3 linked regions of the Caenorhabditis elegans genome follow. The protein of the gene in region 1 purifies or fractionates together with the protein of each later gene. This does not show direct contact. Each region holds a gene or a part of one and is shown on either strand. Other genes may lie near its edges. The genes, in order: mep-1, hda-1 and let-418.

The links.
Region 2: the proteins of mep-1 (region 1) and hda-1 purify together in Caenorhabditis elegans (affinity purification with western blotting, with the first as the bait; 2 studies listed by BioGRID). This does not show direct contact.
Region 3: the proteins of mep-1 (region 1) and let-418 purify together in Caenorhabditis elegans (affinity purification with western blotting, with the first as the bait; 2 studies listed by BioGRID). This does not show direct contact.

Annotation. Positions count from the first base shown.
Region 1 is NC_003282.8:11,523,095-11,533,549, forward strand, and holds mep-1 (MOG interacting and ectopic P-granules protein 1), read left to right. Parts: upstream 1-1,547; 5' UTR 1,548-1,548; coding exon 1,549-1,671; intron 1,672-1,717; coding exon 1,718-2,060; intron 2,061-2,108; coding exon 2,109-3,051; intron 3,052-3,095; coding exon 3,096-3,592; intron 3,593-3,646; coding exon 3,647-3,939; intron 3,940-4,010; coding exon 4,011-4,424; 3' UTR 4,425-4,860; downstream 4,861-10,455. Other genes in the region: thum-3 (THUMP domain-containing protein), read left to right, coding at 4,962-5,027, 5,074-5,423, 5,631-5,787, 6,343-6,597, 7,034-7,140, 7,187-7,314, 7,364-7,476; M04B2.7 (uncharacterized protein), read right to left, coding at 7,648-7,737, 7,784-7,918, 8,688-8,783, 8,832-8,941, 9,022-9,214. UniProt on the Caenorhabditis elegans protein: Has a broad role in development, specifically in the genetic pathway SynMuvB that negatively regulates specification of the vulval cell fate. Required for fem-3 3'-UTR-mediated repression in the regulation of the sperm/oocyte switch.
Region 2 is NC_003283.11:14,523,615-14,533,006, forward strand, and holds hda-1 (Histone deacetylase 1), read left to right. Parts: upstream 1-1,774; 5' UTR 1,775-1,793; coding exon 1,794-1,967; intron 1,968-2,013; coding exon 2,014-2,131; intron 2,132-2,176; coding exon 2,177-3,043; intron 3,044-3,136; coding exon 3,137-3,363; 3' UTR 3,364-3,797; downstream 3,798-9,392. Other genes in the region: ril-1 (RNAi-Induced Longevity), read right to left, coding at 1-34, 194-299, 348-497; kcnl-4 (Calmodulin-binding domain-containing protein), read left to right, coding at 7,510-7,585.
Region 3 is NC_003283.11:5,823,125-5,835,789, forward strand, and holds let-418 (Protein let-418), read left to right. Parts: upstream 1-3,708; 5' UTR 3,709-3,736; coding exon 3,737-4,066; intron 4,067-4,135; coding exon 4,136-5,128; intron 5,129-5,176; coding exon 5,177-6,255; intron 6,256-6,306; coding exon 6,307-7,636; intron 7,637-7,707; coding exon 7,708-9,053; intron 9,054-9,104; coding exon 9,105-9,376; intron 9,377-9,430; coding exon 9,431-9,570; 3' UTR 9,571-9,707; downstream 9,708-12,665. Other genes in the region: srh-76 (Serpentine Receptor, class H), read left to right, coding at 10,812-11,035, 11,094-11,239, 11,289-11,795, 11,841-12,013. UniProt on the Caenorhabditis elegans protein: Part of a NuRD (Nucleosome Remodeling and Deacetylase) complex which is implicated in the synMuv B pathway that negatively regulates specification of vulval cell fate.

The sequences.
Region 1 (10,455 bases):
AAACACAAAAATTTCAAATTGAGCGAATGTGTGGCTGAGAACCAACGTTCACTCCCTTGCTATCGAAACTGCACCTGTTGCGATTTCGTGGCGAGACCCGAGGAAATACTCAATTAATAAATACAACGGTGTCAATCCCACATTGACTGATCTTGCAAATATCTTTCTTCATTGTGTCACTTTTTTTCAGAAATGCAGTTTTTCCATTAGTTTATAGTGCCCAGCGAGTAGTATATCCTCAGAAATGTTGATCCTCATGATTATAAGGTCATTATCGTTTCAAAACATGAATAGTCATAACTTTTCTCTCACAAACTTTTCGAATGTATCCTAGAACTGCTGAATCTCACAGAAACCTAAATTACGAAATCAGGTTCTAATTTTTATCAAAAATTTACAAACCTACGAGAATTCGATTTAACTTGAGAATGAAGAAAGACGCCAACTTCAATTGAAATGCACCGAATTTAGTTCAGGTTACTATCATTTGTATTCTAGATGCAAAGGAATTCACACTTCCAGCTGATATAGCGCTGATCCTAACACGATCCTTTCAACATCTTAGATTTTCGTTTAATGTTTAATCGGAATTTATATTTAAGGCCTGTAGAAATTTCCTAGAAAACGCTATAGAAATATTTAGCTGATTCTCAAGTTTTAGGAACGGGCGTCTTCCTGGTAGAAGATAGTTCGCAGCCCATAAAGACAGCACCCGGCCTAACCGACAATGGCGGTTATGAATTTTTAGACCATTTAAGGTTATGATGGCGAGACCACAACAACCCGTCGCCACGCACGTCACGCTCACAAAACACTCATTCATGCGCTCACGGAACGCTCACACACTCATGACATACACACATCATTTCGCCTCACACACCGCGCCGTCGCCATCCGCACCGCCCGGGTGGGACGTGTTCAAACTTTTCGGTTTTCGTAATTAATAGTGAGCCCCGGTTTATTCGCTTTGAGAATCAGTATAATGGATATATCAGATTGTGTAATTAGGTTGCGTGCTTGAACTTTTAAAATTAACTGTTTTAAATTTATCTGCCTTTATCGTTACAGTAAATCATTTTGATGAACTTTTCGGATGAATCATAATGAAGTACGCAGCGCTCTAACAAAATGTGTTTGTAAATTCCAATTGCTACAAGTTGCCCGGCTTATTTTTTGGTGATTGAAGCATGATTCTGTTGACGCTCCCGACGCGGAATACCAGGACGGACCGATGAGAGAGTACTGCCAGTGAAGAGACGCATGCGAGCAGGACGAGTGCTGCTCACCCTTCTTCTCAGCGTCGGCGGCTGCGACCAGCGGCCGAGGAAGGGGAGGAGAGAGGCCGATTTGGCTGCGTACCACGTTTGATACTCAGTCACTTACCACAGCTGGTTCTCTTGTGCGTTCAAATCTGGCTTGCCGCGCGCGCGCATTTTATTCCTACCAGTTTGAATCTCCCACCTCTCCGACTGTAACTGTCCTAATTTGCTTCCTTCTCATCACTCTCTCTTTGCCTATTTCTCACTATCTAGACTCTATTTTTCCAGAATGGTCACCGCCGACGAGACGGTACTCGCCACAACGACCAACACCACTTCCATGTCTGTGGAACCAACGGATCCGAGAAGCGCTGGTGAATCGTCCTCAGATTCGGAGCCAGACACAATTGAGGTGAGGAAAAGTTTTGGGAATTTAAATCTGAATAAAACGTTTTCAGCAGCTGAAGGCAGAACAGCGCGAAGTGATGGCCGACGCGGCGAATGGTTCCGAAGTCAACGGAAATCAAGAGAACGGAAAAGAGGAAGCGGCATCTGCAGACGTGGAAGTGATCGAGATAGATGACACCGAAGAGTCTACGGATCCCTCACCTGATGGATCTGATGAAAACGGTGATGCTGCATCTACATCGGTTCCAATCGAAGAGGAAGCGCGTAAAAAGGATGAGGGGGCTTCCGAAGTGACTGTGGCATCATCTGAGATTGAACAAGACGATGATGGCGATGTTATGGAAATCACTGAGGAGCCGAACGGAAAGTCGGAGGATACTGCCAACGGAACAGGTGTGTTTTATAATTTTACCAAGTTTAATTTTAACTTTCTATTTTCAGTTACTGAGGAGGTGCTAGATGAAGAGGAGCCAGAACCTTCCGTAAACGGAACAACTGAGATCGCTACAGAGAAAGAGCCAGAAGATTCTTCAATGCCTGTCGAACAGAATGGGAAGGGTGTGAAGCGGCCTGTCGAATGCATCGAACTCGACGACGACGATGATGACGAGATTCAGGAAATTTCTACCCCTGCCCCAGCTAAAAAAGCTAAAATTGATGATGTCAAGGCGACAAGCGTTCCAGAAGAGGACAACAATGAGCAGGCGCAGAAGAGATTGCTCGACAAGCTGGAAGAGTATGTGAAGGAGCAGAAGGATCAACCATCCAGCAAAAGCCGAAAAGTTCTGGACACTCTTCTCGGAGCAATCAATGCGCAAGTTCAAAAGGAGCCTCTGTCGGTTCGGAAGCTGATCCTGGACAAAGTTCTCGTTCTCCCAAACACAATATCATTCCCACCAAGTCAAGTTTGCGACTTATTGATTGAGCACGATCCCGAAATGCCTTTGACGAAGGTTATCAACAGGATGTTTGGAGAAGAAAGACCAAAGTTGAGTGATTCCGAGAAACGAGAGAGAGCTCAGCTGAAACAACATAATCCTGTTCCAAATATGACAAAACTGCTCGTGGACATTGGACAGGATCTCGTTCAAGAAGCTACCTATTGTGATATAGTTCACGCGAAGAATCTTCCAGAGGTGCCAAAAAATCTTGAAACCTATAAGCAAGTCGCTGCGCAGTTGAAACCAGTTTGGGAGACATTGAAACGCAAAAATGAGCCGTACAAGTTGAAAATGCATCGATGCGACGTCTGTGGATTCCAGACGGAATCAAAGCTGGTTATGAGCACTCACAAGGAGAATTTGCACTTCACAGGATCCAAATTCCAGTGCACCATGTGTAAAGAGACGGACACGAGTGAGCAAAGAATGAAGGATCACTACTTGTAAGTTTTTTTTTTTTCATCTTTCAATATTCATTTAATTACAGCGAAACTCATCTTGTTATTGCAAAATCGGAAGAGAAGGAGTCCAAGTATCCATGTGCAATCTGCGAAGAAGACTTCAATTTCAAAGGTGTCCGTGAGCAGCATTACAAGCAGTGCAAGAAGGACTACATTCGCATTCGAAACATCATGATGCCGAAGCAAGACGATCATCTCTATATCAACAGATGGCTCTGGGAGAGGCCCCAATTGGATCCCAGCATTCTTCAACAGCAGCAACAAGCTGCTCTTCAGCAAGCTCAACAAAAGAAGCAACAGCAACTTCTGCATCAACAGCAAGCAGCACAAGCTGCAGCCGCTGCGCAACTCTTACGGAAGCAACAATTACAACAGCAACAACAACAGCAACAGGCTCGTCTTCGTGAGCAACAGCAAGCGGCCCAATTCCGGCAAGTGGCTCAACTGCTGCAACAACAATCAGCGCAGGCTCAACGTGCACAGCAGAATCAAGGAAATGTGAATCATAACACTCTGATTGCAGGTAATAGCTAAACATATTTTAAATAAGTATTTTGTATAATTATTTATATTTCAGCAATGCAAGCGTCGTTGCGTAGAGGTGGTCAACAAGGAAATTCGCTGGCAGTTTCTCAACTTCTCCAAAAGCAAATGGCAGCTTTGAAGTCGCAACAAGGAGCTCAACAACTTCAGGCTGCGGTGAACTCCATGAGAAGCCAGAACAGTCAAAAGACGCCAACACACAGAAGTTCGAAACTTGTTACTACGCCGTCTCATGCTACTGTTGGCTCTTCTTCAGCTCCCACGTTTGTATGCGAAATTTGTGATGCGTCAGTGCAGGAAAAGGAGAAGTATCTACAGCATCTTCAGGTAATTTTAAGAAACGTTTCTATTTCAATTTCAAAACCGATTATTAAATATCTTAAACATCACATTTTCAGACTACTCATAAGCAGATGGTTGGAAAAGTGCTGCAGGACATGTCGCAAGGAGCTCCACTGGCATGTTCTCGATGCCGTGACAGATTCTGGACTTATGAAGGGTTGGAGCGGCACTTGGTGATGTCGCATGGTCTCGTCACTGCTGATCTGCTCCTCAAAGCGCAAAAGAAGGAAGACGGAGGTCGATGCAAGACATGCGGCAAGAACTATGCGTTCAACATGCTTCAACACTTGGTAGCTGATCATCAAGTGAAGTTGTGCTCGGCTGAAATCATGTACTCGTGCGATGTGTGCGCGTTCAAATGCTCGAGTTATCAGACTCTGGAAGCCCATCTCACTTCAAATCACCCAAAAGGAGATAAGAAGACATCAACACCAGCAAAAAAAGATGATTGTATTACTCTGGATGATTAATAGGAAAACGAATGGCTTATCCCGTTCTACGAATGAGTGCTGGAAACATTCTTCACAATGATCTCAATTATTTCTCTTATTCTTTACATTCAATCATTTTAAATCACCAGTTCTCCCACTTTCATTGATATACACATTCTATTGCGGGTTCCGGAACCGAAATCAATCAGTACTTTACTTTATTTCCCCAATTTTTCTCTTCATGATATCTGGTTTATTCTCGCATCTTCCCCTACCTTCAAAACTCCCTATTTTTTTTTCAAAACCTAACTACCCCACAATTATCATGTAAAATCAAATTGCAATTCCCCATAAGACAGATCAGTATACACTTTCACTTCATACGTCTGTTGTTCTCCCCCATCTCATACTTTTTTTACCATTTGTCCAGTTAAGATTTTTGGAAGATATCTATCATATAAATATTATCACCTTTACAAACCATTCTTTTTGAAACTATTTTCAGAAATAAGATTCAGATTTTCTCATAATATTTGGAGGAATCTATTTCAACAGATACGAAAGATATTCAGACAAATGACAGACTCCGTTGAAATCTGTGCTGCTGTCATCACCGGTTTTGAAAAAGTTGCAGCAAAAGAGGTAAATCCTGAAAACTAGATAAAATATCTTACTCGAGTTCCTTCAGATTTCAAAATTATTTTCGCCTAAAAAATGCCATCCAGGACGTGGAAATGTAAGATTTTCAATAGATCTGGAACGTGTAAACGAGACTCTGCAACTTCGATCAATCGATAATCTTTATATGGTTTTTTATGAAGAAACAATTGAAAAGCTGTCTGAAATGCAAAAAGAAGATGCATTGAAAACTATTCAATCGCAAATTTCATTTTGTAACTGGAAATTGGCAATTGAAGCTTATCAATTGGCACGTGGAAACGCGATTAACGGAGGAAGTGAAAAGATTTTGAAACAGATTCAACAATTTAAAAAAGATCGAATATATAGTGAAGTTACGGACGATTCACCCAAGTTTAGGTAATTTTTGAAATCAATATCAAAAATCCTTATTAAAATTTTCAAAAAAAATTAAAAATTCGAAATTTTATTGTGGTTTTAAACTGAAAAAATTTGGTACATCTCACAAAAATTACAATTCAAAATTTTAGTTTTGAAATAAAATTTCAATTATTTTTTTTCCTAATAATTTTTATTTTTCAAAAGTTATGATGACTTTTTTTTCAGAGTAACATGCAAACGATGTGGAGAGAAAGAGATTCACAAATTCAGTTCAATGGATGCTGCTTCGAAGTTTGGAGCTGAAATTAATAATGCTTTTGGTTGGAAATGTAGTGTCAAAGAGTTCGATATAGAAGTAGTATTAAGGATTGATCGGAATAATGTAAGATCGGTGTACCTGCAATTTTACAAAATGAGATAGTGTTCTCCCAATCAATGGTGGAATTTTTCGATTTTTTTCAGTGAAAATCGAAAAACGAAAATTTTTGATTTTTCGATTTTCAAAAACCAAAAAAAAAATTCAGAAAATCAACCATAAAATATGATTTTTTTTAAAATCTAATATATTGATATTTAGATAAGAAAAAACATAAAAATTTTCTAAAAAGAGGAATAATGACCAAAATATTAAGATAATTTTTGAAAATCGAAAAAACGATAAAATACATTTTTTAATTTTTCGATATTTGAAAAATCGAAAAATTTTCGCACCCTTGCTCCCAATATCTCTCATTAAAATTTAGGAATTTGCTTTATCTGAAAATAGCTAGCATTTTAGTTGGAAAAAATTTTCAGATAAATCAAATTTTTTAAATACAGTATTCTATCAAGAACTTTTAATGAAAAAAATTGGGAAAATATTCCACGCTGGCTCATTTTGTAGAATTTCTGGTCAGCTGTTTTCTTTGAATTTCTTCTAATTCATTCATATTTTCAGATGACAGTAATGATGGCTCTGAACGAAGAATCTCTATTCAAACGTAATATCTGTGCGTATGGACCAACTACAATGAGATCTACAATGTGTCATTGCATGCTTCAATTAGCTGATATAAAACCAGGAGATATTATTGTCGATGCAATGTGTGGAGGTGGCTCTATTCCGATTGAAGGGGCAATTTCATGGAAAAATTCATTATTTTTGGGTGGAGATAATCATGAGATGGCAATGAGCAGATGTCTACAGAATTGGGTAAGAAAAAACGAAAATTTGAATTACCGCGGGTTCGTCTCGAAACTCCGCCCATTTCCGTGTTTTTATCATTTTCGGCGTAAATTATTCGTTTCGTCTCGCATTTGGCGTTCGGCAATTTTTTGTCGACAAATTCAGCAAATTGCCGATTTGCCGTTTTCCGAACATCAATTTGCCGAAAGTCTTTAGAGGGATAAAACTGTGCCTTTTTAAAACATTTCCTGTTAAAATTGAAATTCCATAATTTCACAAAAAATGTGCAAAACCATAGTTTCCCAAAATTTTTCGGTAGATTGCCGGTTTGCCGATTTGCCGGAAAAATAGTTGTTTTTTTAAATTAGAAGCAAAACGAAGAATTTGTGTCGAAATTATTTCAAAAATGAGTAGATTAGCCACAATTGAAAATTTGCCATTTTTAAATAATAAATATTTTAAGTCGGCGAATTCATCGAGCTCCCGATCAAACTGCGACTTTCTCACTTGGGATGCTACAAATCTTCCACTACGCGATAATTCAATCGATGCACTTGTCACGGATCTACCGTAATCATTTCAACGATTTTTCCACTTAAAAACATTTATATTTCAGATTTGGCAAGAAGATAGGAAGTACCACAGATAACAGGTTACTGTACCCGAGGCTTCTCGCAGAATGGAAACGAGTTTTAAGGAAAGGTGGACGATTAGTCTTGATGACTCATGATAAACGGAGTTTAGGTATTGTGAAAAAACTTTAAAAACCAGAATAATTATTTAATATTTGTAGAAAACTCATTCCTAAAAGATCGGTCTTCATGGCAAACTGACGCGTCTCATGTTGTCAACGTTGGTGGATTATCATGTCTTTGTATCTGCATGATAAATAGAAAATCTGATTAGATTTCAAATTTTTAACATGCTTGTTTTGTTTATAAAATTCAATGAATAAATCAAAAATTCATTGGCTGGTTTCACATAAAAGGCACAAAATTTAAAAGTGAACATGATCAAATAGAAGACACCGGTTTGAAAAGAGAAATGGCGAAGATGGATGAGAGGAATCACGAAAATCTAAACTCGATGAATGAAGTGCAATGATTTTTTATTGTTATTATTATTGATTTTTTCGATTGTTGGTAGTTGAGCAAAATGAAATAATACCTATAAAAAATTGTTCAAATATATTTTTATTTGATTTAATACTTACTTCACTTGCATTCACTGCTTTCAGTACATCACTGTTACATCGAACTGATTTTGCTTTCGGTGGAATTGGTTGAAAGAATATTGAACTTTGAGTGGGAACGCAAACTGCACGAGTTATTCGATCACATTCGGATTTCTGAAAAAAAAAATGTTTTCATACAAATAATTTTTATCTGAAACTGAGGTAGCTACCTCATGTTGTCAACGTTGGTGGATTATCATCCACCGACTTCCTCTAGAGCCTGAAGCACTAATTTTGAATTCAATCCGTCACTTTCAAATTTATTTAAATTTTTAGGCATTTATTTAAATTTTTAGGCAATTTGGGTCAAACTGTCTAATCTTTCGTAAAAATCAAAAATGAGCGGTGCAAATCTCTTGTCAGTAAATCTACAAATCTGACTTTCAAACTACAGAATTAAGAGACATTTGAGACAAATTTTATTAGAAATTATGTGTCATTTCGTTAGAAAGCATTTAAAAGCCATGAAATACAATTTAAAACAAAATGTTTTTTTTTAAAATTTCTATTGTAGTTTTGCCAATTTCTGAAACGCAGTTTTAAAGGCGCATGGATTTATTCAGATGGGTCTCGCCGCGAGAACAAGTTTCTGATAGCGGGTTACGGTCTCTTTTTTACTTAGCTTTTATCTTCTGTAACATAGTGAACAAAATACTGGAGCGGGCACTAAAATTAACTAAAAAGTGCTACCATGTACTTTTTCTCACGGCGAGACCCACTCGAACAAAACTGTGGGCCTTTAAGAACGTGTTTCATAAAATTACAAATTCATGATATTGAGTTTTCATCTTAATAGTTGGAATATCTTATTGAAATTTGCAGTTTTGTAGCTTTTCTGAGAGAGCCTACCGCCCACCTCCTTAAAATACCAAAAAATCAATACCTCTACATCTTTGCAATGTTGTATTAGATAAGGTTTTCCAGAAGCTAAACATGGCGATGATTCTACAATTTCATAAAATGCATTTAATTCGGCTAGCTGAAAATTTGGAATATAAATACAAGATACAACTACAGTAATCCTTACTTGTTTTTTATTATGTTTCCACCTTCGAAATCTATAGACACAGAATATAGTTGTTATCAATAATCCAACTAATATGACAGGAAGCAATGCAATAAGGGAATAATCTGAAACTGAATTCAATTATATAAATTATAGTTTTAATTTAAAAAAAAGTGGTTTTCTTTGCGTCTCTGTATCTCTCTTACAGTACCTGAAACCACGTGAAGCCGACCATCGTTGACAACGAAATCGCGATGCGATGATTGAAATTTTCGAACGTCGAAAAAGTCCATCAGTGTAATTCGACGATTTGTAGAGTTTGAATGATGGGAAGTAGAATTGGAAGAGGACAGAAGAGATGATACTGTCGGCTCATCGCCCTCTTCCGGTTGACCGTTGACTTTCTACAGAAATTTCAGAATAAGAGGTCGGGAAGAGGATTTGTGGTAAGTTTTGAACAATTGATATAAGAGTTTTAGAAGTAATTAAAAGTGTCTAACTTCAGAACTATATCAGATTTTCAGTCAGAAGTTTTATGGCGAATATAAAAGTTTAAGTATTGTTGCATTCTTGAAACAAAAACTATATTTAAAAATGGAATATCACCAGTTTAATCCTAAAACGATTAACTTATCAAAAATGCTTAGAATTTCTTCATTTACAGCCAAAAAGTGAAAGTTATATTACTCCACCATTCAATAATTATAATCAAAATATAAAGATTTGGACAATTTACCAAACAATTTTGACTGAAAGTTTCAAAAATATCAAAACAATTCTAAAGTGTTTTGTTTTTGACATATTTCAAGTATGGTTTTGCAGACCTTTTTAAATTTACAACGGCTCTAAATTATCGTAATTTTGTGAAAACGAGAAACATCAGCTTAAAAGTACACAAGTATTTTCTAAGTGGGCTTCACCACCATCTTCGAAATTCAGATTACGTACATACATAGTCACATACTCAACTCCAAACTAAAAAAACTAAATTACCTCACTACGTTTCCTCGGAATATTCCGATTCATTTTAGTTGAAGCAGGTGAGAAATCAAAAGAAATAATAATTATTTTTTCAGAATGTGTCCATTTTGGTTTCAGTCTCTTTATGTTTGAAAAAGAAGAGAAAATGCACCTAGGGACACGGAAAGATATCATATTTCTAACCAAATAGGACCACAGAAAACCAAAAGAAGGAGGTCGCTTTGTATGAAATTGGAGTGAAAAAATGCTCTATGGAATATAAGTTTTTAAAACAGGTGTTGTCAATTTTGATTTGTTTGGAAGAAAAAAACCATTAAATAATATCGAATAAAAATTTTGGATTTTACGAATTGGTAAAACTGCAACCCGCAAATACTCAAAGCTGCTCAGTACCAAACGTAGGAGAACTAATCAGCTTAAAATGAAATGTCATAAGCAAATGGCATAAGTCGTGTAAATTAACTTTCTATCCATGTAAAACCAATACAATAAAATTGGAAATATAATTTTAAAATTTTAAGATCACTTGTTTATTTAGTTAAAAATTTCAACAATTAGATGAACCAAAGATGCGAAAAAGCATTAAAACCATTATATGGGCGGAGTCTGTTGAATTTATGTAGAAATAGAAATGTCTTTTTTTTCAATGGCAAGCTATTAAAAA
Region 2 (9,392 bases), on another chromosome or scaffold:
CCTTTGGAGTATTGAACCATGTGGCGTGGCTTGACTGCAATAATTAAAATAAAAATCAGTTGAATTCGTCAATTTATTTTCAGGAAAACTTAAAATAAACTACAAAAATTTTTAATGCAACATCGTGCCAGACGAAGTTGCCAGACTAAAATCAGGAAATATACTATTTTTTTTAAGTAAATCATCAACTCACTTGGCAGGGCGAATTTGTAGACTCCGTAGAGAATGACTCCTGAGTAAATGTAGAAACGGAAGATTGGGAGGTACTTCCAGCAATGGCGCCAGGACCACATTCTCAACTGAAATTGTCATTATTTATTTTCTTCATACTTTCCGGGAAATCTTACGTATTCTTGAGCGGTCCATGGCCGGGCTGGCATGCGTGGATGAAGGTCTGTGGCCGGGATTGGAGCATTTGGAGAAGCAACGACGACGGCGGCTCCTTTGACTGTCTCGGCAGTCCACTTTGCTGCCTCAAAGAGCTTTCCTACGACCATAGTTGATTACCTACAAAACTAAAAATGATTATGTAGTTAAGCTTTATTTGAATATTGATATTTTTAAGCTAAAAAAAAAGATAATTGACATAATTCAACATCGTGAGAGCGTGGGGAAAAATTGAACGTGAATTGCAAGAAATAAACAAAATAACTTATATTTATCAATATTTTACATCGAAAAAAAACTCAAAAAGAGCAATTTTTAGCTTAAAAATAAAAAATTGGGAAGCCAAAAACTGACGGCGGTTTTCGTCCCGCCCCTTTTTGCAAGATTGTGCGTGCTCGCGGTTGTGTGCAAACACGCCGCACACACTTACGACGCTGCGTTTTTTGTCTGCCTCCTGTTCTCGTTCAAAACTGTTTCACCGTTCACCTCGTTTTTCTCTCACTTTTCTGTTTTTCTTATTGTTTTCTACTAGAATTATATCTATATTTGTTCAAAATATAATAAAAAGACGACGCTTGAAGTGTTTCGAATAGTTATTTTCACTGAGCTGCACCTGTCTAATAGACCCACCGTTCAAGGAAGAAAATATCGATTTGTAGGCACTGAATAATATTTTTTAAACATTTTTCGATTCAAAATAAAAATACTTCCAGCAATGGCGCCAGGAAATTCATTGGAGAACTCACTCTCAAATATTAATCTCAATTTCGTAAAATGCTATTATCAAAAAATATCAATAGCACAGGCCACGTGGCTTTTGTTTTTTATTTAAGCTCCTCCCACAACTTTATTTCCGAAGTGAATTTAAAAATTAAACTAAAGGTCAATCATGGGAGGAGCCTAAATAAAAAAGAAATAAAAATCAAAAGCCATGTGGCCTGTGCGATTGATATTTTTTGATAATAGATTGTGGCTGGCTAGTTTAGATTCCTGTAGAAATTGTGCCAAGAAAATTTAAATAATTTCAAGACAAGGCCCAAAAGACAGTATATCATATTGTCAGAATTTTTTATTCCTTGGCACTGGCGAAATTTTCCAGTGCTCTAAATTATTCCAAAAAACCACAGCCACCTGTTTAAGTATATGTCTTTGAAAATTATATTCCTTCAAAGTTTTTACAAAACCTCAATTCTTATATTTTTCCGCTTCAATGATCTTGCCGAATTCAGTTTATTGATCAAAATGTGTTATAGTAATGAGCGTTTTCACGTCGCGTTTATATCGATTACCAAAAATTAGCCAAAAACTCGATCAATACTGCATAACCTGTCTTACACCTTCTCCTTCTCTTCATTTTATTTTTCTTCGAGCAATCTTGTTATTTCAGTCTACTGCGACCATCAAACATGAACTCAAACGGCCCGTTGATGGAGCACGGTAAGCGCCGTGTCGCCTACTACTATGACTCCAACATTGGAAATTACTATTATGGTCAAGGGCACGTCATGAAGCCACATCGTATCAGAATGACCCATCATCTCGTTCTCAACTATGGTCTGTACCGGAATTTAGAGATTTTCGTAAGTAATATTTCTTCATTGAAATATTGTAAACGTTTAATTTTAGCGCCCATTCCCTGCATCATTCGAAGACATGACTCGTTTTCACAGCGACGAGTACATGACGTTTTTGAAGAGTGCGAATCCAGATAATCTGAAATCCTTCAACAAACAAATGCTTAAGTGTAAGTTATATTCTTTTTAAAACTAAATGTATTGTCTCATTTCAGTCAATGTTGGAGAAGATTGTCCTCTCTTTGATGGTCTTTATGAGTTCTGCCAACTCAGTTCGGGAGGTTCTCTGGCTGCTGCCACTAAATTGAACAAGCAGAAGGTGGACATTGCTATCAATTGGATGGGAGGCCTCCATCACGCCAAGAAAAGCGAGGCGTCCGGATTCTGTTACACCAATGACATCGTTCTCGGTATTCTCGAGCTTCTCAAGTACCACAAGCGAGTACTTTACGTCGATATTGATGTTCATCACGGAGATGGAGTAGAGGAGGCGTTCTATACGACTGATCGAGTAATGACAGTGTCATTCCATAAATATGGAGATTTCTTCCCAGGAACCGGAGACCTGAAAGATATAGGAGCTGGAAAAGGAAAGCTCTATTCAGTCAATGTTCCACTTCGCGATGGAATCACCGACGTCTCTTACCAGAGTATTTTTAAACCAATCATGACAAAGGTTATGGAGAGATTTGATCCCTGTGCTGTTGTTCTTCAATGTGGAGCTGATTCTCTCAACGGAGATAGACTTGGACCATTCAATCTGACCTTGAAAGGCCACGGAGAATGTGCTCGTTTCTTCCGAAGCTACAACGTTCCACTTATGATGGTCGGTGGAGGTGGATACACTCCAAGAAATGTGGCACGTTGTTGGACGTACGAAACCTCGATTGCCGTCGATAAGGAAGTTCCAAATGAGTTGCCATACAATGACTACTTCGAATACTTTGGACCAAACTACCGACTTCACATCGAGTCGTCGAATGCAGCAAATGAAAATAGCTCCGATATGCTGGCTAAATTGCAAACTGACGTCATCGCCAATCTCGAGCAGCTCACTTTTGTTCCAAGTGTTCAAATGAGACGTACGTTTTGAACGAATTTTTGTTCACTTTTTAGAATCTGTCAGAAAATTATTAGATGTTTGTTGAACACTTCATAATTATTCCATTTTTCAGCGATCCCAGAAGACGCCCTCTCTGCATTGAATGATGACTCATTGATCGCCGACCAAGCTAATCCCGACAAACGACTACCACCACAAATTACCGATGGAATGATTCAAGACGATGGAGACTTCTACGATGGTGAGCGTGAGGGAGATGATCGAAGAAACGAGAGCGATGCGAAGAGAGCAGCTCAGTTTGAGTCGGAAGGTGGTGAAAAGCGTCAGAAGACAGAGTAAAACACTAAAATGTGCCGCCGTCGAATTCAGTATCTCCTCTGAAAATAATATTCAATCACTGTACACCACTTTTTCCTTGTCAAATGAGTATTACTTTTTGATTTTCCTTAAATCTAATTTAATTTTCCGCCCAAATCCCAACTGTTTTATTTATTTTTCAAATTCAAGCACTTTTATTTGGAAGATCTCTTCACTTTTCCCCATTAATCCTTTTTTATCTCAGTATCCTTTACCCGTTTTGCACTTCCTCAACATCCTTACTCCTCACATCCACATCTAATCTACCCCCTTCAACGATTTCCATTTCTCTTGTCGTCCCACACTCCCCATTTTACTGGCACACAATTCCAATTCCACAGTCAGATCCTGAACACTTTTTTGTATTTTGGTGAATTTCTTCGTTTTTATTTATTTAATAAAATTGACTCGATTGGAACCGGCGCAACGTCTATCTTCAATTCGGAAATTGGAAAAATCGAATTTGTCACATTGGAATTCGAATGGAAGAAGACTAAAGTTTTTGCAGTTGACATCGTTTATGTCGTCAGTTTCAGCTGCTTCATAATTATTGTCTGGAAGCGAGCAATTATAACACGAATTATGATGACTACGCATGTGGTCTCATATTACAGAATAAATTCTCATTTCTATTTTCAATTGTATTCCTTGTCTGTCTTCATCTGATGTTGGATGGTGTGCTCCAAAACGGAGACCAACAAAAATTGCATCATAAAAATCCACTTATCCAAATTTTAGCCCCACCTGGGAATGGAATCGAATCGGCTCTCCGAGCACTCCTTTCACACAGAGACGGAGAGAGAAATTAGCTTTTTACTGGGTTCTTGTTGTTGAAAATGCAAAAAAGATGAAAACATGTTTCGATTCTTTCTTTGTTTTTCTTTTTTCTTTCCACTCATTCATACTTTTCATTGTTTGTCGTTCATTTTTCAAGTCTAAAATTCAGAAATATCGAAAAAAAAGGATATTCAATTTCGCAACGTAACCGATTTCCGGTTAGATATCAGCTTGAGCAGAAGGGGAGGTGCATGAAGAATAAAAGAAGAAGGAAGGGAGAAGCTCAATTTCAGTTGATGAACATTCGTTTTTTAGTTTTATGTGTCTTGTCCTCCATTGAACTTAACTCTTTAAAAATGGATTACCGGTTTTTGAACATCTCTTTTTCAGTTTATTAATCGCAACGTCACACGTAAAGCCGCAAGGGTTTATTCGGATGGGTCTCGCCACGAGGAAAAAGTTTAAGTGTACAGTTTAGAATGTACATCAAAAAGTTATACTTCAAACTTTTCTCGCAGCGAGACCCATATGATTAATTCTGTGCACCTTTAAGTTTCAGAAAACAGCGAAAGATAAATGAGATGACATGAGAAGTGTACTATTCTCTTTTTTTTTAATTTGGCAGCTGAAAATACCAAGAGAACGGAGTTCGTGGCGAGACCCATTGAGAAAATTGTACGTAATCTTCTGTACACTCACGAATTTACTATAAAATTTAAGAAAATATTATTTAAAGTTTTCTAGATGATTATTGAATCTATTTGAGATTTTCTGTTAGCCACAATTTGGCATAATTTTCAATGGATTCAAAGAATTTTCGTTAAATTTTTTTTCTAAATTTGAAATACTTTGAAATTCTTTAAAAAATCAAGTGAAGTGGTTTAATAAAAAGACTGAAAATATATTTAAAAAGGTTTTTGTCTCTTCGGGTACAATTTCAGATAGAAATTGACGAATTGAGATACAAAGCTTTTAAAGTTTACTGAAATCGTATTATTACAAAATGAACGCATATTAATTTTTCCAGAACAATTTTTTGTCGACAAAATGTAGGAAATGTGAGATCCGTGTAATAACGGAAATAGAGCTGGCAAGCCCAAGTTTTGAGAATCTCGTTTTAAAAAAGACCGTTACACTTTTTACCAATAAACCATATTATCACTTCAAGACGGTTTTTTACAGACTTTTAGGCATGTTGTGATATATATTTTAAACTATAGTTTAATCCATAGGAAAAATTCTGAAGCTTTTCGGACTTTTTTCTTTAAAAAAATTAGTGAACATTGAACACGGCTCTGGAATAAACCAAATTTCTTTATACTACTCGTCTTACTATTAGTTAGACAGTTTTCACATCTATAACAAGAATGATATTTTAACCAGAATTTCTTGAATATCCCAAGAAAAAGTCTTATTCTATGGTATTTTGCTATCTTCTCAAATTTCAAAGATCTTGAAAGTAAGTCGTTTGTTTTCTTTCACATTGTGGTCTAAAATTAAATGAAGTAAATATCTATGTACATCTGCGTCCATTCAATTTCCCACTTAAAACAGAAATAAATGTAGTGCCCTTGTTAATGAGCAAAAGTTGACCTTCATTGATGGAGTTGAGAATATCTGGAATCAATTATTTTCATTATTGACTTCCCCCTTTGTCTACTTCCTCGTTATTGAAATACTTATATTTCTAATTGGAACACTTGAATTTAGAGTCATAAACTTTTGAACATGATCTTTTTCTCGTTGAGTTATCTACCATTTTCCTCGTAAAACAACGATCGATAAAATCCAATAAAATCATCACTTTAATCTCGGATACCGGAAATTCGAATAAAATTGAAAATTGATCATGTGCTCCTCCAAATAATCATGTCGTTATGTTTCACCAACGCTTATTTTCCTCTCTTTTTTGAATATGAATAGTGTTTCTATGGTTTGAATGAATGATGTCATTTTGAATGGCACACTTGCCTTGCTTTCCATTATTTAACAATAGGCAAGTTCAGCCAATAATGTGGTAAATGTATTAAGTAAAGCTATGAATGAACCAAAAAGGTAAAGACGTGCATTTACTTTTTGGATTTGCGCAAACCTTCAAGAAATACACTAAAATGACTGTACTGACCTGAAGTTTTAAAGAATATTTATCTGAAAAGTTCAATTTGGAATTTTTCCATTTCACTTACTATTAGTTCATTATAGTTCAAAAGTAATGTTTTTAGTTTAAAGAAAGCCTGAAAAATATAAAAATTTGGTTATACTCCTTTCATATAGCTGATTTATTTTTATATATCCACAACTAAATTATATCAGTAGTTGGACTTTTATATTTACCTACTTGAACCCGAAAAAATTATTTATTTTTTAAAATTGTCTCAAAGTTATTTTCAACAGTAGAGCGTGTCTTCCAATAAACACAACATACACTTTGTTTGTGCTCATTAAAAAAATTAAAATATAACTTAAAAACATTAACTGCCACATTTATAGAAATGTTCAGTTAGAGATAGAAATTTTTAATCAAGCTCCCAATATTTAAATTCAAAATAGTACGAACTAGAAAGTTTTAGAATAATTTTGGTAAAAGCCTATTAATTTTTTGAAACCTATGTCTTCTGGAAAACCCCGTGGAATTTTGTAGCTTAACCATAAAAACATTTTTTTGCAAAATTTGAAACACACATAAATTTTTTTTTTGCGAATGCTACTGAGAAAACCCCAAATAATTTTTTCCTAAAATTTTAACATCTTGCAAGATTCCAACTTTTCCTGTTTATCTGCAAGTTTGTAACTTGTTCATTTCCGTGTTGTTACACATTGCCACCAACTTATCAGTCAACATTTTTGCTGTGAGCAGTATATGGTGATATCAGAATTCGTTCCCACAAGTCAACGAGTATTTTTTTTTCTTTCTCGCAATTCTAGCTATTTGCACAAAAACAAGACTCTTACCTAATCCCTCAACTTTTCATGTTCTATGTGCTCATTTTACCCACAATTTCTCTTCTCTTTCCAGAGAAAATTTTTGCGTCGGAAAAAAAAGAAAAAATCGTTCAGGTTTTATTGGATTCTGTTCAATTTTTTTTGGGAACTGATATTTTCAATTAATAAATTGCCACTGTTTTCATTCACAATTCATGCATTTCTGACAATATTGCAGGTACCAGAATGTACCCGCCCTATTCTTTTATTTTTTCCATTATTCTCGAGTGCGCCGCCGGTCCATCGTCGGGGTGAAGTAAATCCATTTCGCGCCACTACTCAAAAATGCATTTTTTGAGTGCTCACTCTTTTTGGACACTTTTATTCTTTTTTCTTCGTATTGGCAATAAGAATTAATTCAGGAACAAGATGGCGGCAGTACGTGCTGGAGCTGTTGGCCTGTCGAAACAGGCAAGATTCACAATGTATTCGTCTACAAGGCCAGGTTAGTGAAGATGTTGGGAAAAAAGTAGTCAGAAAGTTATGAAACAGGGGTATTCGGTATGCTTTTCTCGGTACATACTTGTAGACTATACCTCTATAGATCCTAATTCTCATGATACCTACAAAATAATTATAAACTCAATAATCTTTAGTGAGAAAAAGTAAATTCTGGTGATTCTTGAAGAACTTGGTTTCACAAAAAAATAAATCTAGAAGCACGCAAAATGTATGTAACTGTCTGCTTTTTTTGTTCGACTAGACTTTTTAGAATCCCTGGAGAAAAATTTTGAAATGTCAAGTACTTGACGTTACTTGAACTTGTTGATCATTAATTTAAAAATACATATGTCCTCAGAATTAAAATCAGAATCATTTCCCAATCCTCAACATATATGTATACTTCTCAAAGATTATTCATTTGTTTTTTTGATCTAGGATATAGTTTTTTTGAAGTGAGTGTGTTGAAGTGAAGATTTTTTAAGGAAATCTGTAAGAAATCAGCTCATATCCTCAATCAGATTACATCTATACAATAACAGTAGATGTTTAAAAAGGATTTAGAAAATAAATCTCTAAACATCGGGAGTTTGAACACCTAGAATTATCAAAATAATGACACATTTGTTTCAACCATTTATTACTATTGTAAACAGATAAGATAAACCAACTCCCGAGCCGAAGAACTTTTTGAACTGTTCAGTTCTAGTTTTTGAATGAAAGTAATTTTCGATTAGTTTTAATCATGTTTATCTTGAGACTAATTAGTATGGACTCAACATCCTAAAATGACAAAAAATCGGATAACTAGTAAGTTTGATTTTTACGTTCCGGGAATTTTTTGCAGTATGTCTAGCAAATTCATCAGGTATAATTTTCATAGTTTGCTATAGACTTTATAAAATATATTAGAACTTGAATAAAATTGACTTTAAAAGTTGATAAAATTTGAAAGCATAAAAAAGTTTACGTATTCAAAACTCTTTACTCAAATGTGGCCCAGGCTCACTGGTATGAATAATACACGAAAAAAATCCATCGGGAATTAATTTCAAAGTATTTTTTGTTTTTATCAGACTTGACTGCGGTCAAACTACTGTAACAACCGTATTCTATACTTTTCTCTTTAAGTTGTTATATTTTTTTGTTAAAATTTTTCAAACCTATCAGTCAACCTACATATACATAAATCTGAAGTAAAGGCATTAAAAACCAGTATCACGCAACAAAAAATTCCAAAAATACCTTTTTTCTCCCACTAACTTCCTCTTTTCAAATCCTCTTCTTCCTCCCTTACATCACTTTTTCATAAAAGGCACCTGATCTGTTTGGAAATTGAAAATCCAGCTCAACCCGGTTGAGTCGTTTTCATCCAGCTGCAAATGTCTGGTGTCTCTTCATCTCTCACGCTATTTTCATATTCGTCTGTTCCTAACACACTCACACACACACAACTTGATATCAATGATTATATATCCGCAAAAAAGGAGAAAGACAGGCGACTCGAGCGCTTTTTGCTCACGCACACACACCTCTCTCTATCAATTTTTAGTTCCATTCTCTTTCAGTTCCATTTAATCGAAATAATCTTTACTTCCTCCCCCAATTGCTTTTCCAATTCTTTTTCCCTTATAAGACATCGGATCACACAGATTCTTGTGTGTCATTATTTGTCCAGTTGGAATTGAAATCTAGTAGAGCCCGGTGGGAACCTCCTGATGAGAAGTCTATTGTCCTCCTGTCGTCAATGAGAAGCACTTCGAAGAAGAAAAAGAAGAAAAAGTGACAGAAGAATATGGAATTGCAAGAGA
Region 3 (12,665 bases), on another chromosome or scaffold:
AGTGATATTATTGCGAAACTCGATGATAAGAAGTTTAGTGCGAGGGGGTAGCTAGAGAAAGCATGATAAAACTAATTGAAAATGTGTTTTGTGGTTAGTGAACGAAAGCTACTGTCAGTGATGATGATATGTGAGAATTTTGTGACCGCTGAACTTGGACATCTGTGACGGAAATTGTGGTGAGATATGAATTGAGAGAAAAAAGATATAAACTACGTTATATGACACAAAAAACGAAAATTGAGGAATTTAGACCACGTTTTTTGGTCAGAGGGATCGAACTACATATTCAATTTATATTAGTTTTGTACCCCACTACTTCACTTTGAAAGGCTCTATCTCGGTTCATTTCAAAGATACCAATAAATAATAAACTACAATACGATAGAAAAGACGTTGCAAATATTTTTTCAATTGACAATTTTTTAATAGGACAAACGACTACAGAGATATAATCTGTTAGAGTTGAACCACTACTAGATACAATCCGGTAGTTCCGTTCCATGGGTAAGTGGTTTATTGAGTTCTGAGAAAATTAACTTTTCTTAAGTTTTTTGAAAACGTACAGCTATGTTTGAAAACAATGTACAACAATTTGTCAGTAAAACACTACAGATTCAGGAAAACTGCAAGAAATTTTTAATTTTTTTTGCAATATTTTTACAACACAAAAATATAATATTTCAAAATTAACAAGAAAACATTCAGAACGTATTCGAATAAATTTTTATTTTAAAACTAGTTGTACACCTGTCGTTCGTATAGCTGATTTTTTAATTCGCACTGTAAAATTCTACTGGTTTTAAATGAAACTAGAATAATCACGATCGTATTTTTTCAAGTGTTTTTTTCCATGCGCAGATGAGCTCCATACGAAGAATTTCTAATATTTCACAGTTGGGCTACATTTCATGTTTTCATAATTTGAAATCCATACATTATTTTCAGCTATTTAGTTAGGTGGCTTAGAGTACAATTTTGTAAAATTTACCAATCTGAAAGACCATTGTTCCTATGAAAATAGCAATTGATTTAAAGTAAACTCACCAGACAAGCTTTCCAAAAGTGACTAGGTGCATAAATAGAAAAAAACGACTGAAAGCTATATCGCACATATGGGCTACTCTAGACTTTATAGTATTTGATAGCACTCCAGAAAATTGCTTAGTTCATCGTTTAGCCATTAAACCTACAAACTGGTAGCCAAACTATTATTCTACCATATATTTGATTTAACGTTTATAGTATAATGCGGTTTAGATTATTAACATTTTTGGCAAGATTGGAAGATTTCCTTACGTTCGAGAAATCAAATTTTGCAAGATCAAAAGCATATTAAATAGTAATTTTCAAAAAAAAAATGCCACACAATCTATCTCAAAAGGACATTCAACACTTCTCTGACCGCTCATTGACTTCTCATTTGAAAATTCACGTAATTTGTAATTTTTCGTTTAAACCAAACTCCATGAAACTGCTCTCTTATTCAATATCAAAACAAAAACGCGCCTTTCTCTGATAATCTGATATGAAATCAGGGGGGTGTCGTTGAAACGCTTATCACGGAGACATTAGAACAAAAAAAAAAGAAACCGAAAAATGAGGGGTACTGTAATATGTTATGGTTTTGTTGTTTTGTTATCTTCCATAATTCCATGAGACAAAGGGTGGAGAGGTTCACGTGAATCCCAGCATCTCGGATTATCTGGTTTCCGGCAGTTGAACTTTTGAAAAAAAATAACTGAATCAAAAGTTTATGTTTACTTATTGACTGGACATTTTTGGGTTGGAGATACATTAAAATTTGACAACTTTGAGTAAAAAACGATGACACATGCCTGAAAATGATGTTGGTTATATTTCCTTTGTACAATTTGTTTTTGGGAACTTGGGGATCTTGCTTTAAAATATTCAGAATTAGTCGATTTCTGTAAAAGCCAAATTACCAAATTTGTGGTAAGTTGACAGATATATCATTTTAAAGTTTGGACATTTGAGTACTCTATTATGTCAACACAAAATTCTGAGAATGCGTATTTCACAACATATTTGAAAGTATCTCATAGCGAAAACTACAGTAACACTTTAACTGATTACTGTAGCTCTTATGGCGATTTACGGGCTCTATTTCAAATGCCTTGTGCAATACGCATTCTCAAAATTCTGTGTTCCCGTAATATCACTGTTTTCGAACATTATTTTCCAAATTACACTTTTACAATTTTGTAGAAAATCTAGCAGTTTGAGAAATTTTTTCAGAAGTTAAGATATAATTTCTAGAAGCTTATAATAGGGCGAATCTAAAGCGTTATACTGTTAATTCGAAATATTAAATGTTATTCAATCATTTAAAATTGCCACGTTTTCAGAAGGTCAAGGTAAATTTGTTTATCCTTGATTTAAACATTATGAACATTTTATTTCTTTTAAATTATTTTTAACTCGCATAAACACGTGTTTTGAACTTCTAGATCTTTTTCTTCACTGCCGTGCATCGATTTGAATCATTTTCCGCTTTTGCGCTTTCAAGGGAGGTCCATTTATGCGAATGGGTCTCGCCGCGCTAAGTGCATTGATTTTAAAATGTTGTGTGTGCGTCTTAACGTTTACTGTCCCGTTCTTTTTTTTTTAGCTTTTTCCCTGTTTTCTAAGGTTTTCCTAGTTTCTGAAAAGAATTTGTATATCTTTGTATAAGAATTTGTATATACATGCTGATTCAATTAAAAATTAGTAAAGTTCCGAAGAAGAAACCTATTTTCGGGAGCTATGCAGGTGCGCTCCATTGCCAGCAGATGCGTTTTGTTCAAATGTTTTCTTTTTCATTTTTTTTTGGCTCGCTTTTTGGATTCGCGTTTCCTCTCAATTTCCGCAATTTGATATTTCTAAGTATACAAGTATATTTCTAAAATCGTCATAAATATTTGCTCGTAATTTTCCCAATTTTAATTCAAAATTTTAATTCTATCAGGACGGTTCACAGTTTTTACCTGATTTGAATCCTGAAATAGATCTAATTTACTAGTTTTTTTTTTAATCCGTAATCCAACGTGTTTTTAATTTTCTGTGAACAACATAATTCTCAACTCAAATTAGTAAAGGGACATGCCACGTATTAATAATTTTCGTTGCGGGAAACACGACGCTGCATTTGGTCACTCTTACGCGCGAAGACGGGTCATTCGAATTTCCATCACTCTCCTCTCGTCTCTCTTTCTCTGACCACCGTCCCAACGAGCTGTGTCCCCGTTCTGCAATGTCCCCGCAGTGTCTCGTCAAATGGGACATATGGGGACATGAAATTGTCCCGTTTCGAATCAATATTTGTTTGAAATATGTTTTTGAATACGGCTATTTTTTCTAACTTTTCTTGTAATAATTGCATTTTCTCGATGGTAGATTTTAGAAAACTTGAAACGTAGGTTGTAAAATAAATTTTAAAAAATTTAAAATAGCTTGACGAGCTTAAATTTAAATTCCTACTTTAGGAATTTAATATTTTCAAAATTTTCTACGTTTTTTAGAAAAAATTAAGGCTTAATCTATCAGCCCAAAATTTACACTCAACTCTGTGTGTTATTTCGTCGCCGTGTTTGCAGACTTTTCACACTTTCAAATTTTGCTGATTTGCATTCGAGCTTTCTAATTTGTTCTCTTTATAATGTCCTTCTTGCAATTATTTATGTCTTACTTATATTAATCAATTTTCAGAAATTGTATTTCTCCTGAGAATTCAACAATGTCAACTGAAGAAGATCCGTCTTTAGTGGACGCGGAAGAATCAATGGAAGAGGGTTCTGTCACTCAAGACGCAACTGAAGAAACAGAAGAAGAGGAAGAACAAGAGCAAGGCGATGAGGCTGGACCATCTGAGCGAAAGCGTTCTTCTAGAAAGAAAGGCGGAAAGGGAGGCAAAAAAGGATCCAAAAAGAGTGCTGCCGCAGCTAGCAAGGTTGAGATTCCTGATCCGTATAATTCGACAAGTGAAGAAGTTTGTGCTGCTATCGGATTGACAGACGTCGAATTTGATTATGATGAAGAGGAGTTTCAAGGAATTTCTAATCTGAAGGTGATTATTCAAAATTTATTTTTTAAATCTCGATTTCTGTTTTCCTCCAATTAAACATCTTTTTTACAGACTTTCTCCTCAATCATCAAGCCACAAATACTGGAGGCAAACCCCGGAACCAACGTATCCAAGATGTACCCGATGTTCCAAGTCAAATATAAAGAGTATCAAGATCACATGGCTGCCCAAGGAAAACCTGTTCAAAAACAAGCTAGAGGTTCAAAGACTCCAGCAGTTTCCACACCCGTCATCCCTCCACGATCAGCTCCAACGAAGACTCGTTCTGCAAGGAGAAAGCGTCGAGATTCCGATGCTCCTGATAGTGATCAAGAGTTTGAGGCATTTATTAAGCAACAAGAACAACTGGAGGACGATTTGGTAAAAGACAAGGAAGATGCTCGTATCAAACGTGCAGCGGAAAGAGAAGAGAAGAAAAAAGGAGCATTGGAAGCTGCTCGTGCCGCTAAAAAAGCAAAATTAGAAAAGGGCGAAGAAGCTGAAAATAATGACTACTGTGAGGAGTGCAAGCAAGATGGAGAACTTCTTCTTTGTGACACCTGTCCCCGCGCTTACCATACAGTCTGTATTGATGAAAATATGGAAGAACCACCAGAGGGTGATTGGAGTTGTGCTCATTGTATCGAACATGGCCCAGAAGTAGTTAAAGAAGAACCGGCGAAGCAAAACGATGAATTCTGCAAGATCTGCAAAGAAACTGAGAATCTTCTGCTTTGTGATAGTTGTGTATGCTCATTCCACGCATATTGTATTGATCCTCCACTTACCGAAGTTCCGAAAGAAGAAACATGGTCGTGCCCACGGTGCGAGACGGTTAAGCCGGAACACAAAATCGAAAAAATCCTTTGCTGGAGATGGAAGGAAATCCCGTATCCAGAACCTCTCGAAGCTGGGAAAGAGGCTTCGAGTGACGATGCGATGCTCAAACCACCACGGAAAATGGAACCAAGACGTGAGCGTGAATTCTTCGTGAAATGGAAGTATTTATCATACTGGCAGTGTTCTTGGGTCTCCGAAATGCTGTTGGAAGTTCATTTCCGTATGGTGAGTTTTAAGTGATGAAGTCCATTTGACTAATGTTTATTTTTCCAGCTTATATTGCTATATTGGCGCAAAAATGATTCCGATGCTCCTCCAGAATTTGAAGAATCCGTTACGTCTCGTCATCATTCTGATAATGATCCTTATAAATTGCGCGAGCGGTTCTACCAGTATGGTATCAAACCGGAATGGATGCAAATTCATCGTATTATCAATCATCAATCATATGCAAAGTCGCAGCAGGATTACCTTGTTAAGTGGAAGGAGCTCAGCTATGATCAAGCCACTTGGGAACGAGATGATTCTAATATTGCCAATTACGAAGAAGCAATCATTAAATACTGGCAACATCGTGAGAGCAAATTAAATGAGGATATTCCTAAAAATGTGCAGAAGATGATTGCTAAACATCGCGAAGCTAAAGGTCTTCCTCCAAAAGAAGACGAAAAGAAAAAGAAGAAGCGTGAGAAGATTGACATCCGTAAAAAATATGAAGTTCAGCCCGACTACGTTACGGAAACCGGAGGAAAACTTCATCCATATCAACTGGAAGGACTTAACTGGCTTCGTCATTGTTGGTCCAACGGAACTGATGCGATTCTCGCTGATGAAATGGGTCTTGGGAAGACTGTTCAATCGCTTACTTTCTTATACAGTCTCATGAAGGAAGGCCATTGCAAAGGACCATTTTTGATTGCCGCTCCTCTATCAACTATTATCAATTGGGAGCGTGAGGCTGAACAATGGTGTCCTGATTTCTATGTGGTCACTTATGTTGGTCTTAGAGATGCTCGTGTTGTGCTCCGAGAACATGAGTTTTCTTTCGTTGAAGGTGCCGTTCGATCCGGACCGAAGGCTTCAAAAATGAAGACGACAGAGAATATGAAGTTCCACGTGTTGCTCACTTCTTATGAGACTATCAATATGGATAAAACTATACTTTCTTCCATTGAATGGGGAGCTCTTGTTGTTGATGAGGCTCATCGGTTAAAGAATAATCAGTCGTTGTTCTTCAAAAATCTCAATGAATATACTATTCATTATCGCGTACTTCTCACCGGAACTCCACTTCAAAACAATTTAGAAGAGCTCTTCCATCTCCTCAATTTCTTGTCCAAAGAACGTTTCAAGTAAGTTTCTGAATTTTTGTGTATTTTATTTTATTAATTGCATTTTTTCAGTCAGCTCGAGGCTTTCACTGCCGAATTCAATGAGATTTCCAAAGAGGATCAAATTGAAAAACTTCATAACTTGCTCGGACCTCACATGCTTCGCCGTCTCAAAGCTGATGTGTTGACTGGCATGCCATCGAAATCAGAATTAATTGTTCGAGTTGAACTGAGTGCTATGCAGAAAAAATGGTATAAAAATATTCTGACTCGCAATTTTGATGCATTGAATGTGAAGAATGGAGGAACTCAAATGTCATTGATGAACGTCCTTATGGAATTGAAGAAATGTTGTAATCATCCATATCTTTTTGTGAAGGCAGAGTTGGAGGCTCCGAAAGAGAAAAACGGAATGTATGAAGGAACGGCGCTCATCAAGAATTCCGGAAAGTTTGTTCTTCTTCAAAAAATGTTGAGAAAGCTGAAGGATGGTGGCCACCGAGTGCTTATCTTCTCACAAATGACAAGGATGCTGGACATAATGGAAGATTTATGTGAATATGAAGGATACAGATATGAAAGAATAGATGGAAGTATCATGGGACAAATGAGACAAGATGCTATCGATCGTTACAATGCTCCTGGAGCTCAACAATTTATTTTCTTGCTCTCCACTCGAGCTGGAGGTCTTGGTATCAATCTGGCAACTGCTGATACGGTTATCATATATGATTCTGATTGGAATCCTCACAATGATATTCAAGCTTTCTCTCGTGCACATCGTCTCGGACAGAAGCATAAAGTTATGATTTATCGTTTTGTAACAAAGAAATCTGTCGAAGAAAAAATCACTTCAGTTGCCAAGAAGAAGATGCTTTTGAATCACTTGGTTGTACGTGCAGGATTGGGAGGAAAAGAAGGAAAGACAATGAGCAAGACTGAGCTGGACGATGTGCTTCGATGGGGAACCGAAGAGTTATTCAGTGAGGATCTTGATGCTGCCGAAGGCGAAGGCTCGGAGAAGAAAGGTGCTGCCGCACAAGAAATTGTTTGGGATGATGCAGCTGTAGATGCTCTTCTCGATCGCAGTAACAAAGAAGAGACTCCAGCAGGAGAAGATGGCGAAGAAAAAGCTGAATGGCAAAACGAATATCTAAGCTCGTTCAAGGTGGCCAGCTATCAGACAAAAGAGACTGAAGGACAAGAAGAAGAGGAGGAAGAGGAAACGGAAGTGATTAAAGAAGATGAGAAAGAACCAGATCCAGATTATTGGGAGAAGCTGCTCAAGCATCACTACGAACAGGACAGGGAAATCGAATTGCAAAAGCTTGGAAAGGGAAAACGTGTTCGCAAACAAATCAACTATGCCAGTGAGAATATGGGAACTGATTGGAGCAAGCAGGTTTGTTTTTTTTCTGATTAATTGGGTTTTTCTGATTAATTTCTGATTAAACATTTAATGATTTTTTTCAGAACCAAACCCAAGATGATGACGATGATAACGAGTCGTACCGTGGTTCGGACAATGGCGACGGCCTGAACTCTGATGAAGATGATTACGATGAGAAGAAAAAGCGGCGTCGTGATGAAGAAAAAATGCCTCCACTCATGGCTAAAGTCAATGGACAAGTTGAGATTCTTGGTTTCAATCCACGTCAACGCAAGGCGTTCTACGGGGCTGTTATGCGCTGGGGAATGCCTCCACAAGATTCTCATCAATCTCAATGGCTTGTTCGAGATCTGAGAAACAAATCGGAAAAAGTCTTCCGAGCTTATGCTTCACTGTTCATGCGACATCTCTGTGAGCCTGGAGCTGATGGTCATGATACCTTTAATGATGGAGTTCCAAGAGAAGGTCTTAATCGTCAGCATGTTCTTGGCCGAATCGGATTGCTGAGTTTAGTTCGGCGGAAGGTTCAAGAATTTGAGCAATATAATGGCCAATGGTCTATGCCTGAAATACAAGACGAAGTTCTCGCTAAAGCTGCCAATGGTTCGGCACAAGGATCTTCAAGAAGTACTCCGAAACCAAAAGAAGAGCCGAAGGAAGAACCAATGGAAAAGGAAGATGCTACTGAAACAGTTAACGGAGCTACATCAGAGCCAGCTACAGATGCTGAGAGTGAACAAAACGCTCCTGTTGACGAACCAATGGATACAGATGAAGCCAAAGAACCGAAAGAAGAACCAATTGAAACCGAGAAACCAAGAGCAGCCCGTCCATCATTCAAGTTCAACATTTGTGACGGTGGATTCACTGAACTTCACTCTTTGTGGGCCAATGAAGAGAAAGTTGCAAGAAACGGAAAAGAATATGAAATCTGGTACCGCAGACACGACTATTGGCTTTTAGCTGGTGTTGTTGTACACGGATATGGACGTTTCCAAGCTAATTTCAATGACATCATCAATGATCCCAGATTCTCAGTTCTCAATGAGCCATTCAAGGAAGTTGGCGCTGAGGCAACAGGATCTGACATCAAAGCCAAGTTTATGCAACGTCGTTTCAAACTTATTGAACAGTCCCTTGTGATTGAGGAGCAACTTCGTCGCGCTGCACACGCCAATCGTCACTTGCAGCCGGATAATGTTGGACCATTGGCTCAACGTTTTGCGGATTTAGAGAATATTGCTGAATCTCAAGCTAATATCGCCAAAGAAAGTTCTGCTGGAAATCGTAATGCGAATGCCGTTCTACACAAAACATTGGTTCAGCTCGACGAAATACTTTCCGATATGAAGGCCGACGTGTCTAGACTTCCATCTACTTTTACACAGTTAGCGACTGTCACCGAACGTCTCAACATGACCGAGAGACAGTAAGTTTTAACTCGTAAAAGCTTCAGTCAATATATGTATATATATTTCAGAATTCTTTCGCGACTGACCACAAAAGACGAGGACGCGATAGCCAACCGTAGCGTACTTCCACCACCAGGACCATTTGTAACTCCAATACTTCGCCAGCAGATGGATGGCATTCAACCAAAGTTTGCAGCTCTTTACAGTAAATTCATGTCTGAAAATGGAGAAAGGATGGAAGAGGATGAACCAGTAGAGGCAGAAGAGGAAGAAGGTGTAAAACAAGAACCAGATGATGAGACTCAAGATAGCGCCGAAGCTCCGCCAGTTCTTAGTGCAGGTTAGTACTAATTCATATGGATCTTAAAATAACTCAATGTATTTCTATTTCCAGAAGTGAATTCCGACGATAGCAACGATGTTCCATCTACTTCCGCTGCTGCTGCTGTCAGTTCTGAAACAGCTGCCGACGCCGAACCAGCTTCCGCCGAAGATCAAGCTCCAACAGATGAGCCAGAACCAATGGAAACTTGAATGTCTTTTTAATTTTATTGGGTTTTACTGTATTTTTTCAAACTTTAAACCATTATATTATTTATTGTTCTCTTTTTAGTTGCATCAATTGAAATGCAATTCAAATAATTGCGTCATGAATCTGTGTAAACGTTTAATCCTGATCTTTTCGTCTTAACTTGTTCACATGAATCTAAGCAGCCTCGCCATCAACACGTTGACCGTTCTATGATAACCCAGTCATTCTCTATCTCGCCTCGCTTCCTCTTTGCCCATTCCCCTTGACGAATAGGGTAATTAATCAATTGCACCGCGCAGAAGACACAGGGTTCCGGCGTGGGCGACAGTCAAAAAAGGAAGTGTGGAATGTGTGTGAAGATATCAAATATTTGTGACGTTCTCTGTTGTCTTGACAGGAAGAGAGAAGCGTTAACTATTTCATATTCCGATGACGTATTTGTTTGATGTTGTCGATGAAATTTACAGTTACATCATCGAAACGGTTATCCTTCAAAGGTCATCTGGAAATTTTGAAATTAGAAAACAAGTTGATTTTTACATCATTGGTTTCGTAGCCATAGATCACCGATCATAAATGAAATATCATCAATTTCATGATTTTTTTCATATGGTTTAGACTTTGGAGAGGGACCAAACGCTACTAAATACTTGGAACTTTATTAACATTGTATTATAATATTCAGAAATTTGCACTTTTCGCGTCAATGAATACGGTAACTGGTCTCGATGGGACAATTTTTTGTTCTGAAAAAAAGATTGAGCCTTTAATGACTACTGTAATGATTTCCAACTCTCGTTGCTATTGATGTCGCTTTTGTTCAATAAAAAATAAATTTATTCAATAAAAAATTAAAGGAATCATATACGAAAAAATCATAGCCTTCTGCGATTATCGAAATTTGTCGTGTTGAGATCGGGTACCGTATGTTTGGCTGAAAAATCTGATTCCTCGCGGCTAAACCTGTCTGAAAAATTCCATGCTACGTTAGGTAGACGTTTCATTTTCAGATAACAGCGAAAATGCAGAATCTATGACATTGTCAAATTGCGCGTGTTCAGAGACTTGCTGAAACATAGACCCGAAAAAAGTTCACAACAGAATGAAGTCATCTTGTAACTGATTACCTCATATTCAGGCGTGGCTGGACTCAATGATATAGACGAAAATATTGGAAATCGTAAATGCATGACTGGTCATTCAAACTAGAACCCGATGCAGCAAAACATTAGACATTATTCCGATGTCGGCACAAAGCAGACTCGATGAATACTTCAAAAAGAATTACTACACTGTATGCGAAAAATCGACAAGTTTCATGAGTTCAACAGATTTTATTGTCTATCCTCTTCAACTTTCCACAATTCTGAATATTCCTTTATTTGTTCTAGCAGGGTACTGTATATTACAGAAAACACCGAAATCAATAGGTTCTACTAAATGGGCATATTTCAATATGCACATTTGGTAAGCTGCATTTAAATTATATCATGAATTTAAATGCGCTTCAATTCTCTGTTTTCAGGATGTGCTTACAAAGTTTATTAACAAGTACGTTACTAACACCTATCACGTGGCTGCCAACAATCGGATCATCTATGATGGGTCTATTTTCATATATTGGAGTGCCAGAAACTGTGCAGTTTTATTTATTTGTAATTGTAATGTTTGGTAAGTTATCAAAAGTTCTACCAATAATTAGAAAATACTCTGTTCACAGTTACTATGTCGTCAGTAGTGTCACCTTTTGAAAATCGACATAACGCAATTCAACACAATACACTTCGAATTTCAACATCCTGGGTTCGATACTTGGTTACTAGTGCCAACTATTTGGTTTCTTTCAGTTTTCCGATTCCATTTTTGTTTAATATCCCAAACCAGGAATCAGCAAAACTCCTCATTTTACAAAATGTACCTTGTCCACAAGAGGAATTCTTCACTTTGAGTGTTTTCTCAATATCTACAGATGCTAACTTTAGATTGATATACATGGTTTCAATGCTCATATTTCTATGTTCTACATTCGTTCAACTTTTATTTTATGCATTCACTTGCTTACGATATCTTGTCTTTTCAAAATCAAGTAGCTTTTCAAAAAGAACAATCGAACTGCAGAAAAAGTTTTTTATTGGAATTCTCATTCAAGTTCTTGTTCCATATGCATTCATAGTGCCTTCAGTGTCATATTGCTGCTATTCGGTTTATTCGAATTATTATAATCAAAGTTGTTTAAAGTTGTTCAAAATTTCAAAATTGTTCAAAGTTTCAGTGCTCAACAACTTTTTCGTTTTGGTTTTCAACTTCTATGGAACGGTATCAACAATAGGACTTATATCTTGTCATACAGCGTATTGGAAGTTTGCGAGAAAATTGATAATGTTTAAGTCGAGAACAGATTTGGCGAGTAATATTTCGGTGTCAAGAAACAATCAAATACAATAGGAGTAAAAAAATTACCTTTAATCACCAATGAAAATTTGCAATGTCATTTTTTTGAAAAGCCAATGTGCGCTTCTGCGTTTTCAAACTTTTGCCCATGTAACATGTAACGTATGACAATATGTGTATTTAAAAAATTATTTTAAAAAGAAGAAAAAAGATTTCTGATAGTCTAAACTTTTTGGAAAAATTTCCTAATTTTAAATACAATTTATCCAGTGTTTGTCAGATTATTTTGAGGCTTCCAAAAACTTTTCTTTGCGCCACTACTCAACTTTCAACAAAATTGTGCGTTCTAATTTCGCTTGAATAATTTCAAGAATATTTGGAATTTGTATATCATTGTGACCTACACCACAGACCAGGCGTTGAGTAGTGATTTCTATGATTTGTGTTAGGTAGTTGGGAAAAAGTAGTTAGAAGTTAGATGTCAAACTATACATATAGCATAGCGTTCAGAGAGTTTTCATAATGAATTTCTGTCTAATAAGAAAGTGATGTGAAAATATTACTAGAGTTCACAGCTAGACGTATCCAAAAGAATACGTCTAGACTACATCTCAACAAAACTTAAAAAGCGGAACTAAATTCCGAATTCACTTTTTTAAGCATTAAATTTTCAAAAAAAAACTTTGGTTGAAAATATTTTTTGATA